3 linked regions of the Neurospora crassa OR74A genome follow. The main gene of each other region encodes a partner of the protein of the gene in region 3 in a complex. Links are inferred from orthologs where the notes say so. Each region holds a gene or a part of one and is shown on either strand. Other genes may lie near its edges.

Evidence for each region.
Region 1: NCU00570 (region 3) and NCU02533 share a complex: the UniProt entries of both Saccharomyces cerevisiae proteins name them as parts of the RNA polymerase III (Pol III) complex. The link is inferred for Neurospora crassa OR74A from reciprocal best matches to the Saccharomyces cerevisiae genes RPC11 and RPC40.
Region 2: NCU00570 (region 3) and NCU01772 share a complex: the UniProt entries of both Saccharomyces cerevisiae proteins name them as parts of the RNA polymerase III (Pol III) complex. The link is inferred for Neurospora crassa OR74A from reciprocal best matches to the Saccharomyces cerevisiae genes RPC11 and RET1.

What each region holds. Positions count from the first base shown.
Region 1 is NC_026501.1:2,645,840-2,649,395, forward strand, and holds NCU02533 (DNA-directed RNA polymerase I and III polypeptide), read right to left. Parts: upstream 2,198-3,556; 5' UTR 2,089-2,197; coding exon 2,011-2,088; intron 1,920-2,010; coding exon 861-1,919; 3' UTR 501-860; downstream 1-500. Other genes in the region: NCU02532 (NEDD8-activating enzyme E1 catalytic subunit), read left to right, coding at 1-289; nuo49 (NADH:ubiquinone oxidoreductase 49kD subunit), read left to right, coding at 3,320-3,556. UniProt on the Saccharomyces cerevisiae protein: DNA-dependent RNA polymerases catalyze the transcription of DNA into RNA using the four ribonucleoside triphosphates as substrates.
Region 2 is NC_026502.1:2,490,062-2,494,074, reverse strand, and holds the start of NCU01772 (DNA-directed RNA polymerase III polypeptide), read right to left. Parts: upstream 2,801-4,013; 5' UTR 2,615-2,800; coding exon 1-2,614. UniProt on the Saccharomyces cerevisiae protein: DNA-dependent RNA polymerase catalyzes the transcription of DNA into RNA using the four ribonucleoside triphosphates as substrates. Second largest core component of RNA polymerase III which synthesizes small RNAs, such as 5S rRNA and tRNAs.
Region 3 is NC_026501.1:7,970,123-7,972,797, reverse strand, and holds NCU00570 (DNA-directed RNA polymerase III polypeptide), read right to left. Parts: upstream 1,388-2,675; 5' UTR 1,149-1,387; coding exon 1,136-1,148; intron 1,080-1,135; coding exon 793-1,079; exon of another isoform or gene 737-792; coding exon 698-736; 3' UTR 517-697; downstream 1-516. Other genes in the region: NCU00569 (SOH1 family protein), read left to right, coding at 38-154, 209-496; NCU00571 (hypothetical protein), read left to right, coding at 2,129-2,155, 2,303-2,675. UniProt on the Saccharomyces cerevisiae protein: DNA-dependent RNA polymerase catalyzes the transcription of DNA into RNA using the four ribonucleoside triphosphates as substrates. Component of RNA polymerase III which synthesizes small RNAs, such as 5S rRNA and tRNAs.

The sequences.
Region 1 (3,556 bases), about 5.3 Mb from region 3:
CCCCGTGTGCGGCATGACGGCAAGGGTGCTCAAGGTCAACCCCAAGTGGACACTCGAAGAGCTCATAGAGTCGTTTGCTACCCTTCCTGAGGCGCAACTGAAGAAGCCGTCGGTGCGGGCTGAGGGCAAGACGCTGTACATGCAGTTGCCCCCGAACTTGGAGGAGCAGACGCGGCCAAACTTGGAGAAGACACTTGAGCAGCTTGGGCTGACGGAAGGTACTGAGCTCGCCGTTACTGATCCAGCGTTTGTAGGCGTGGTGTTCAACTTCAGCCTCAAGTTTGCATGATGGTCCCCAGACATGAACGTGTCATGATGGCCTGGCCTGGTTTGCCTGGACTTTGTTCATGCTATTTAGGGACTAGATTTGTAAATTACCTACGAGCGGGAGCGTTGCACAACAAGCAGCGGGGAATGACCCGCAAGATGGCTATAGCGATGAGTTAACTTCCTTTGCAATTAATTAGATGTGAATACAAGATATGATTAACAATGTGCTTCAACAATATGCTACGCAGTACGTAACCAAAAGACATCATGTCAAATGAGGGGTACTGTGTTTATGCAAGACAGTGTGGTTCATGACTCATGTGCACCGACATGTCTATGATAATTAACAAGCAGAAACCATTAAACTAAAGCTGGCCACCAATCCCTAGCCTCCATGACGCCGTTCCAATGTTCTTTTATATGGTTACAAGAGAGATGGGTATCCTCACGACCTAATCCGTGTGATTTTTCCTCTTTCCCTGTGTGATTCCACATCATGATCGCTCAAATTCTGTCTCAACCACCGTACATAGAAATAACCTCACCTCTTCTTCGTGCTATTTTGAATCCTCCTACCCCTGGTACAATGTTTACTGTACCATGTTCACCACCTGCTTCTCGAACCTCTTCGCCTTCTCCTTGAGGTGGGCAATCGATTCGAGGAAGATGGCGTCGCTTTCCCACTGCCCCGTGCTCTCCACCAGGTAAATGAAGTGATCCCTCCTTCGGCCCAGCTTGACCTTGTCCTTGAACTCGTCATGGCGCAAGCACTCTCTGCTGACGGTGTCACGCATGGCGTCCAGGACCACGGCCTTGAGCTCGCCCTCATGGCCCTCGTATCCGCTGCCCTTCTTCTTCGCCTCCTCCTTGGTGACCTTTTCCAGCCCGATGACGCCCTCGGGGAAGCACTTCTGGAATTTCTCGGCGTCGCGGCCTAGGATCGGCTCGAGAATGGTGATGGTCGGCATGAGGCGGTACGAGGCCGTGGCGACGGGGGAGAACTTGGCGTGATCGGACCCGACGCCCTTGTGCATGTGCATCGTCAGATCGATCTCCTGTCCCGGCCGCATCTTGGCGACGAGGATGTCAGGGTTCGTGGGCCGGATGGCGTTCTCGCCCGAGAAGTACTTGGCTTGCCGGCCCTTGGGCACGAACTTGATGTCCTTAGCGTAAACATGGGCGTTGTGGTAGAGCTCCTTGGGGTCCTTGCTGTCTGCCGGCGCGCTCTCGTTGTTCTCGCACTTGACCTTGAGCTCGAGCTCGACCGTGTTGTAGTCGCACGGGGTCTCGCCCTTCTTGTACCACTTGAGGAAGTTATGGAGGCCTTCCTTGCCGCCGGTGAACGGGATCAGGCCCAGGCGGTGGCCAAGAACTTCGTCCTGGATCACGGAGGTGTTGTTCCACATGAAAATGTCCTCAATGGCCAGCGTGGGGATGTCGGCAATCATGATACGGCGGAAGGCATTGGCGATAGAGGCGTCGACGCCAATGAGCGAGAATTGAGCCTCATAAGGGTCGTTCTGGTGGAACACTACGCGGACACTTTCGCGGAACTTTTCGATATCCCAGGAATGATCCTCGCCGGGGTAGAAGCCGGGAAAGTCGGTGGATGTGACATTGGTGACAGTTTCGGCGTTGATATGGACAGTCTGCAGAAGAAAAATGCCATCAGTTTCCGCGTTGCATGCGCTGCGCAGCCTCGACTGATGATGATGGGCGGCAAGCCAGTGATTGACGTACGTTACGCTTCTCAACCTCTTCTGGGCTCGGGACCTTTGTCCTGACGGGCACGGCGGTCTGCTTCTTTGAGGATCCCATTGCGACGATATGTGTAAATAATGCTCTAGGTTGGCGGGGTTACCCTCTCGCTTTCACACGCAGGTCGGCACGCCGGGCAAAATCTTGGGAAAGAGAGCTCTGCGCTGTGCGACGGGCGATGGAGCGGCAGAATTTTTCCCACGAACGGGAACTTTTTGACCGCCTTCGCGGGAATGCGGTTGATTGGTTGGCTGAGATCTTATCGTGCTGCAGGCAGTGGCGGAGAGGTTCAGGGACTGCCTGGCTCAACTTGATGCTCATGGGCCTCGGCGGAGACAATTGTGGACAGGACCGCAATGACTGGGACAAGGCCAACAGGGTACATGGCGGGCCATAACCTCTGTCAGGTTACCGTCGACTTCGACCATCGACGAAACCTGAGGCGAAGAGAGAACGCTAGATCTTCACTTGCAAAGGGCTGCGCAGGTATGATGGGAGATACTTCAACTACCTAGATATACTTGCATGTCGGGAGTATCAATTCCAAATCCACAATTTTGTAGCTTCGGCGAGGGAAAGACATCGGGGCTTCATATTCCATGTCCACATCGAGGTTTGTCGCGAGTAAGTGACATGTTGACTAACTCCACTCTTAACTCCAGCACATCTTGGAATCTCTGTGGTCATTGTTATAAGTGTGGACATGCTCTTCCATCCTCCTCTTCCTTTCTGCGAAAACCTCTCCCTAAAATGCCCAAATTCCGACTTACACTGCCTCGAGACTGCCTGGCGAAGGACCGAGGCTTCTACAACCAGCCAATCAGATGGCATATAGCGCGGCTGCCCTCCATGGGACCGCTTGGCGGCACGGCTGCCGGATAAACGCCTTGGCCGGCAACAGTCGAGACGGGAGCTTGCCCGCCGTGGGGGGAACGTTGTACCAGAAGAAGCTTGGTCTCTGACTGCTCAACTGATGGCCTTTGATTGGGTTGAAATTCACTGACCAACTGACGGCAACGATTTGAGGAGTTCGAAGCTGGGGCGTTGCTGCGGCCGTGGTCAGGGAAAGTCGACTGGACGTCAACTGAAGCATCTCCACCACCACCTTATTACTGCTATCACTAGAAATCGCAAGCTCACTGCGAGCCATTGAACCGCCGGAGAAGAGGCCACATCCAGCGGCGAACCTCCTCCCCTTTGTCCTCCGTCGCTGTCAATCCTGCGAATCTATCCATCTCCGTTCCCTGACCTTCTGAGCGACCCAAAGCAAGCGGCAGTCCCACAAACAACAATGGCGACGACGTTGTTCCGACTCGCTGGGCGCAATGCCAAGCGCCATTGTATGCGCCAGAGCACCACCATCGCTCACAACCTCAACTCGACTCGCGCCTTTTCTGCCTCCGCTCTCAGACGGTATGCCGAGCCCAGCTACGAGGGCCAAGGAACCCGTCTGGTCCCTACCGGCGACGACTTTGCGCCCAACAACGATCTGTATGGCTTGGAGGCTTTGAAGGCAGACGGTGCCCCG
Region 2 (4,013 bases), on a different chromosome or scaffold from region 3:
ATGCGTCACGGTAATCGTCTGACCCACGATCGCCAGCGATTCCAGTAGAGATCTGGTCCAACGGGGTCTCCTTCTTGATCATCGTTTGTCCGGATTCAACCTTTGAGCCCACCTGGGCCAGGCCATCGGCGTCGAGGATGGCGTGCTTAACAATGGGCTTGTCGTCTTCGTCCTTCATGATACCGCCAACCCTGTCGCGGCGCCCATTCGTATAGCCTTGCAATTCGGCGGTATACTTGCGGAACACTTGGCAGCGGCCGAATCCACGATCTAGAGAAGCCTTGTTCAGAACAAGCGCATCTTCGATATCGTAGCCAGAGTAAGACATGACAACGACGGTGGCGTTCTGTCCTGCCGGGAGCTTGTCGTAGTGGATAAGTTGAATCGTCTTCGTAATGACCATTGGTCGTTGGGGATAAACAAGGGTATAAAGAAGGGTATCGATTCTGTTGAACTGATTGTAGGCAATAGCACCAATGGCTTGTTTACCCATGGCGCACTGGTAAGTATTACGGGGAGACTGGTTGTGATGGGGAAAGGGAATTAGACCAGCGACTGCTCCGAGAATCGTGAACGGCTCAATTTCCATGTGCGTAGTGCTGTTGGTGATCTGATCCTCCTGAAGCGCCACAAGGGTATCGTTCTCTTCGTTGACATCGAGATACTCAACCACGCCGCTGGTCAGGAAAGTGTCGAATGTCGCTTGCCCGAGTTGAAGCATCTTCAGGTGCTCTGCCTTCAACATGGATTTGCCGTTCTTGACGATGATGTACGGGCGGCAAATACGTCCTTCATCGGTAGCGATATGAACCGCCGAGAAGTGCTCGTTGATGTGGATGCTCACAAAAGGAGAGACCCAGCCCCGGCGACGCAAAGTTCTGAACCTGGCGGCAAACCGCTTTGGCTCCCTGGTCACAGCAAATGGTGTACCGTTCAAATGGATGATATACGAGCCTTTGCTGTGCATCTCTGTTCCGGTGTATTCTCGGATCGGTCCCACGCTCTCATCAGCAGCAAAAATCATCTTCTTAACTGGTTCCTCCGGCACATTCGTGGTAATGTGTGTCATGAGTGCCAAATTCTTTACCAGACCACAGGCTTCACCTTCAGGTGTATCAGAGGTGCAGAGCATACCCCACTGTGAGGGCTGTAGGGCTCTTGGACCGGAAACCTTTCTTGTTTTTTCGAACTGTGAGCTGATACGCGTCATCATACCCAGCGCAGCGATATAACTGAGTCGGCTGAGCACGTGGGTGATACCGGCTCTGTTCATGTTGAAACGCTTGACCGTCCAGTTGCCGCTCTGAATGGCGCGGTTAAGACCGTGAGAGATATAATGGCCGTTAGCCATGATCGCACCATGGGGATCATACGTAGAGGTACGGTTGGGTTTCTTGAAAAAGTTGTCAATGTTGTACTTGACGTCTGAAATGAACTTTTTGAACAAGTCTTCAAATAGAAGGGAGATCAACTGTCCAGCCAATTCCAATCTCTTGTTGCCGACGAAATCTCTGTCATCGACGAGCTTGGGATTCTGAGCTGCCATCAGCACGCGGCGAACCATCATGGCAATGTAGACGGCCTTGGGATAGAAGTCGAGACCCTCAACAGTAACGTGCGCGATAACTAAGTTCGCAAGTGCGTCGAGACCTTCTTCAGCATGGTTTCTTCGAGGAGCGGCACCGAATTTGGGTCTGTTACCGCCCATCTTGACTCTAGCACCAACGTATTCCAACGCTTGTTGTTGTGTGTAGACACCAGCTCTTCCGGCTTCATCGAAGTTGATGAGGAAATCGTCCTGGTAGCGCGCATCGCCACCGCAAACCAGCTCGATGATGTCGTTGTCGGAAAGACCACCGAAGGCCTTGAGAACGATGACGATGGGAATGGGCTCGGAGAGGGTGTTGTGCTGCAGGACAATCCGGTCCTTCTTGAGTACGACGTAAGTCTTTGACTTTCTCTCGTGTGTGGAACTGGTAACCGAGGCCATGACTCCGCCGGTCTTCTCGTCGGCCTCGACAATGATACGGTTCTTGCTAAGCTGTTCCTGAATCAAGATGACCTTTTCGGTTCCGCCAATAACGAAGTAGCCACCAGGATCGAGAGGGCACTCGTTGAAGACCTCCATCTGGGCATTGGTGGCGCCGTTGAGGTAGCACTTTGCGCTCTTGAGCATGACGGGAATGCGGCATAGCGGGATGTTCTTGCGGACGATAACGTTCTTGTCGCGGGTGTAGGCGATGTCGACCTCGACGGGGGCGGCATAGGTGAGGTCGCGGAGACGGCACTCCATGGGGGTGACGGGGTTTCGAGACTGGACTTGTTCGCCATCTTCGGTGCGGGTGGGCATGCCGACGCGGATGTCTCTGAACTCGAGCCAAAAGTTGGGGTCCTGGTCGCTGCGGACGACGCGGTTGGCCCTAACGATGTCCTTGATTTCCTCGTTGACGAAGTAGTTGTACGAGTCGATGTGTTGCTTGACGAGGCCCTTGACCTTGAGGAAGGCCGGGACAAGATGGAACTTGTCCTGCGTGGTCGAGATGGGATCGGTCAGCTTCTTGCCATTGTAGAACGGCTCCAGCAGGGCCTCAAAGCCATCGTCGAGAGCCGCCATCCTTGCATGTGCTAACTGCGGGTGACGGTTCGTCGTATCGATCGGGCCGGAGGAATGGAGGATGGCGATGATGGGCGCGGAACGACCGGGAATGTGTGTTTGGTTGAGAAGATACGCCTTGCAGTTGTGTAGGTAGATTTCGATGTGATTTTTGGCCCCGCGGCAAATTGATAAGGATTAGTTGCGATAAACTTTTTCTACGGGCTGGCCGCTGCCATTTCTTGTTAGGTCAGTAGAGGTAAGCCGCGGCTGGGGCGGTGGGGGACGACGGGGCGGGAGTGGTCTGTGCTTGACTGTTAGTGTGTGTAGTGCACTACACTAGAGGTAGTGTTGTGGTGCGGTGACCGGTGACTGCTAGTGACTGCAGTGGTACCTAACTGGTATGCCGAGGCCAAAATTGTTAGCGCCCACGTTTTGGACCCCTGATTGACAGTTACATATACCTATGTAGGTTCCTTGTTCCACTTTTGGCCGTGCCCTCCACCTGTCGGGTACCTTTGAAACCTTTCCTTTTGCTTTGACTCCGGACCGTCACTTTGATGTTCGTGATAAGGAACCCCCGCCTCTGTGCAACTCCGACACATCTGCCTCCTGGTGGTAGGTTGTATTTACCTATCCAACTTCAACTAGCACAGCGATTTGAACAATTTGTAGCGGGGTCAGGCCAGCTAGGTAACCTCAAGATAGCTATGTATCCGTTCTGCTGAATCTAGCCGCGCCAAGCGGAAGCCGGGCCTTCGATCGACACACCAGTCAACAGGGGAGAGCTTCTGGTTATGAAATCACCTGCCGGGTCGTTCACTATTTCTCTCCTACCTGTTATCATGTTGATGGTCTTCTTCGGTCTTTGTTCGTTGATATGGCAGCCTTTGAATTGCTAATCGCATACAACGGAGGTTGATGTTATTCCCAAGTGCTGTGACCTGCTCAGGCTTCAAGAATCAGAGAAGGGTTATGCTTCTGGCTGACTATACAAACGTCAAAGAGTCGCATCACCGTTGGCCGTGTCTTACAGCATAGTGTAGGTAGGTACCCATCTTTTCCTAGGCCAGCTCCAGCAGGGTGCTACCTTGCTTGAATCGACCTGGAACCCAACCCAGCAGTGGGGCAAGATCCGAAAGAGGAGCAATTGAAAAAAAAAGGCGAGGAGATTTCACATCAAGGTTAAACACGGGGGCGCTGCACTTGTGCGTTCGCTTTCTCTACCATGGTCTCAATGAGCATTCAAGACATTCCATATCTCAGCGTCTACCATAGCTATCACCTGGCTATCGTACATTTGAGTGCTCAGAATGTAAATCGATCTTCTCTCTTGTACTGAATCTTCCACAGGGCAGAAGTGAGGGTTAGAGTGTCCAGCCTTGAACATTGACGGCTGTCTGCCTGTCACTCACTGTCT
Region 3 (2,675 bases):
GATTGGAACACTGTAACAAACACTCATTTTTTACGTCATGGCATCCGATCCCATGTCAGTAAACAGTTCAGCAAGGGAGCCACCTGCGCCTCCGGGATCAGGGGCAGACGAGCCCAAGTATGGAGGATATACACGGTTCGAACTCGAACTGGAGGTAGGCTTCATACACATTATCATCCAGCGTGCGTGGTATTAACAGAACACTCAGTTTGTTCAAGCACTTGGCAACCCGCTGTACCTGAACCATCTTGCGTCCAGGAAGCTACTCAGCAATCCTGCTTTCATCGCCTACCTCGACTATCTCCAGTACTGGAGCCGCCCACCTTACCTCAAGTATATCACCTACCCTGGGCCTACCTTGAAGAACCTGGAGTTGCTGCAGCAGGAAAAGTTCAGGCAGGACATCATCAGCCCAGACCTGGTCGAGCGTCTCAGGCTAGAGGGCATGAAGGCCGGAATCGACTGGCATCGAGAGAGTTTTCCAAGCACGGCATAAGTTGCACGGGTAGAATGATGCCAGGGATGGAAACGAGTGGGAAGTAGCCTCTGGCAGGCCAGTACCGCACAAGTTGATTCTGATGAAGAATACCTCACATGCAACTACACAAAAACAAAAGAAAAACCCAACGCCAAGCAATGCCCCCAATACCATGTATTGATGATCCGACCAGACCTGTGCTGAACATGTCTTCTTCCTCTAGTTGTTGTCTCTCCACCTGTGCCCGCAAGTCATACACTACGAGACATGTTAGCTTCTTACTTTATCCCATCAGTCTGCAATCCCCTTCTTACCTTGTAGAACGTCGTCATCGGTTCATCAGCACTACGAATTTGAACCTGGAAGAAGGCTGCCTCGTTGCCATTGCAAGTTCCGCTGTCACACTGGACCTTGCCTTTTTGTGCATTGTCCCAAGCGCCTGGACCACCAAACACGTCTTCCTTCTCCTTGCGCGGGAAGTTCTTGCGGGAGTAGATGGGCTTGTCGATGGGGTGTTCGTAAGGACAGGTTCTGCACTCGAGCCTGTTGCCACCCGTGTCCGCTCGGGAGAGGATGAGGAGGTTGGCGCAGAATGGGCAAACTGTGGTGGGCGTTTAGTTCCGGTGTCCTAGCCTTTGTGGGTGGACTTGGACTTACAGACGATAGGCATGTTTGCTATTGATGAAGGGACTGGATTTGTTTGTTGTGTGTTATCGTCCGTTATGAATAGCAAGTGAGATGAGTCGAGCGGTTGCCAAAAGTCTTGTTGACGATCCTGATGAGAAGAGGCGTCGCCGTAAGCTGGTACCTTTTGTGAAAACAGCTGGCCAAGACCGGTGTTTATGTCTACCACTTGCTGGGCTTTAAGGTAGTGATATAAGTTGTTAGAGTGTAAATAGTCAGTGTAGGGGCGATGGCCTGAAAAAAAGTGTTATAGCTCGATGCGGTCCGTTAATTCTATAAACCTTAAATGTAGCGCTTGAATTTTCATTGGTCAGATCTGCATCATCAACTGTCCCACACTTGGTCAGCGGTGCCTGGACCCAACGGCCCTTTCTGTTGTGCCTGTGCTAAGGTAGGTACGTACCTACTCACTGACATGCAGCTGGGCCTCAGCGCATGCCATCTGAATGCCAGCGTCCTGATCGGGCCCCGCAAGGAGCCGACCATTCTGTAACACCAAGGGAAGACGACACTGCCACTGCCACCTCCTAACCAGCCCGTTAGGTAGAGGTACGGAATGCTTCCATCCCGTCCTTCATACAACCACCACCACCACCACGACTGGAGATATCTCATAGAATACAGTACACTGTACCCTACAAACAGTCGTTCGCCGCCCTCTTATTACCCCGAAGATCCCTCATTGAGCGTTACGCGATCCCGATCCTTTTATAGGAATCGACCGATTACCTGATTCGACAGCCTGGCCACTTCCATACCGTACATCCACTCTCCCCCGCCGACCCATTTCCACGATTCCCGCTCGTAATTAGCAATTCCAGGCCAATCTTACCTCTCTACTTTGGACAACTCTCGCCGTCATCCCTCTTCGCTTTCACCGTCGTTTTCGCTACTTGTGCTTCTTCCTACAACCAAGAAACATCACCCGCCGTTTCCGAGACAACCACAAGTGACCTACCAGTAACCATGGCCGGAAAGGACGAAGAACACGAGGTTCGTACCACACAAGCGTCCTCTACCCCCAACTAACACCCTCTCTCTTCTATCCCCCGTTTCACCCGCCCTACGCCCTCTCGCGCAAACAGCTATACTACAGACAACCCCAGCTAACCCTTCCTTCTTTCACCCCCCAAAATACAGGGTGCCTCCATCTCCGAGCAGCTCATTGAAGCTTGCCGGCGTAACAACACTGACCTCCTCTCGGAAATTCTCGCCGACAAATCCGACGAAGAAATCTCCTCCCTCTTGAACAACACGACCACCGTGATGGGCAACCACCTCTACCACGAAGCCGCGCTCCGTGGCAACTACGAGATAATCGACATGCTCCTCGACCAACCAGGCTTTGAATGCGATCCCGTCAACCGACTCGAGGGCGACACCCCGCTGCACAGCGCAGTCCGATGGATCAACAGCGAGCCGGAAGCGCAGCGCGAGTTCGGCAACGAGCTGGTGGACATGATGCTGGAGGCCGGGTCGAACCCGCGCGTGAAAAACAAAGGCGGCTTGACGG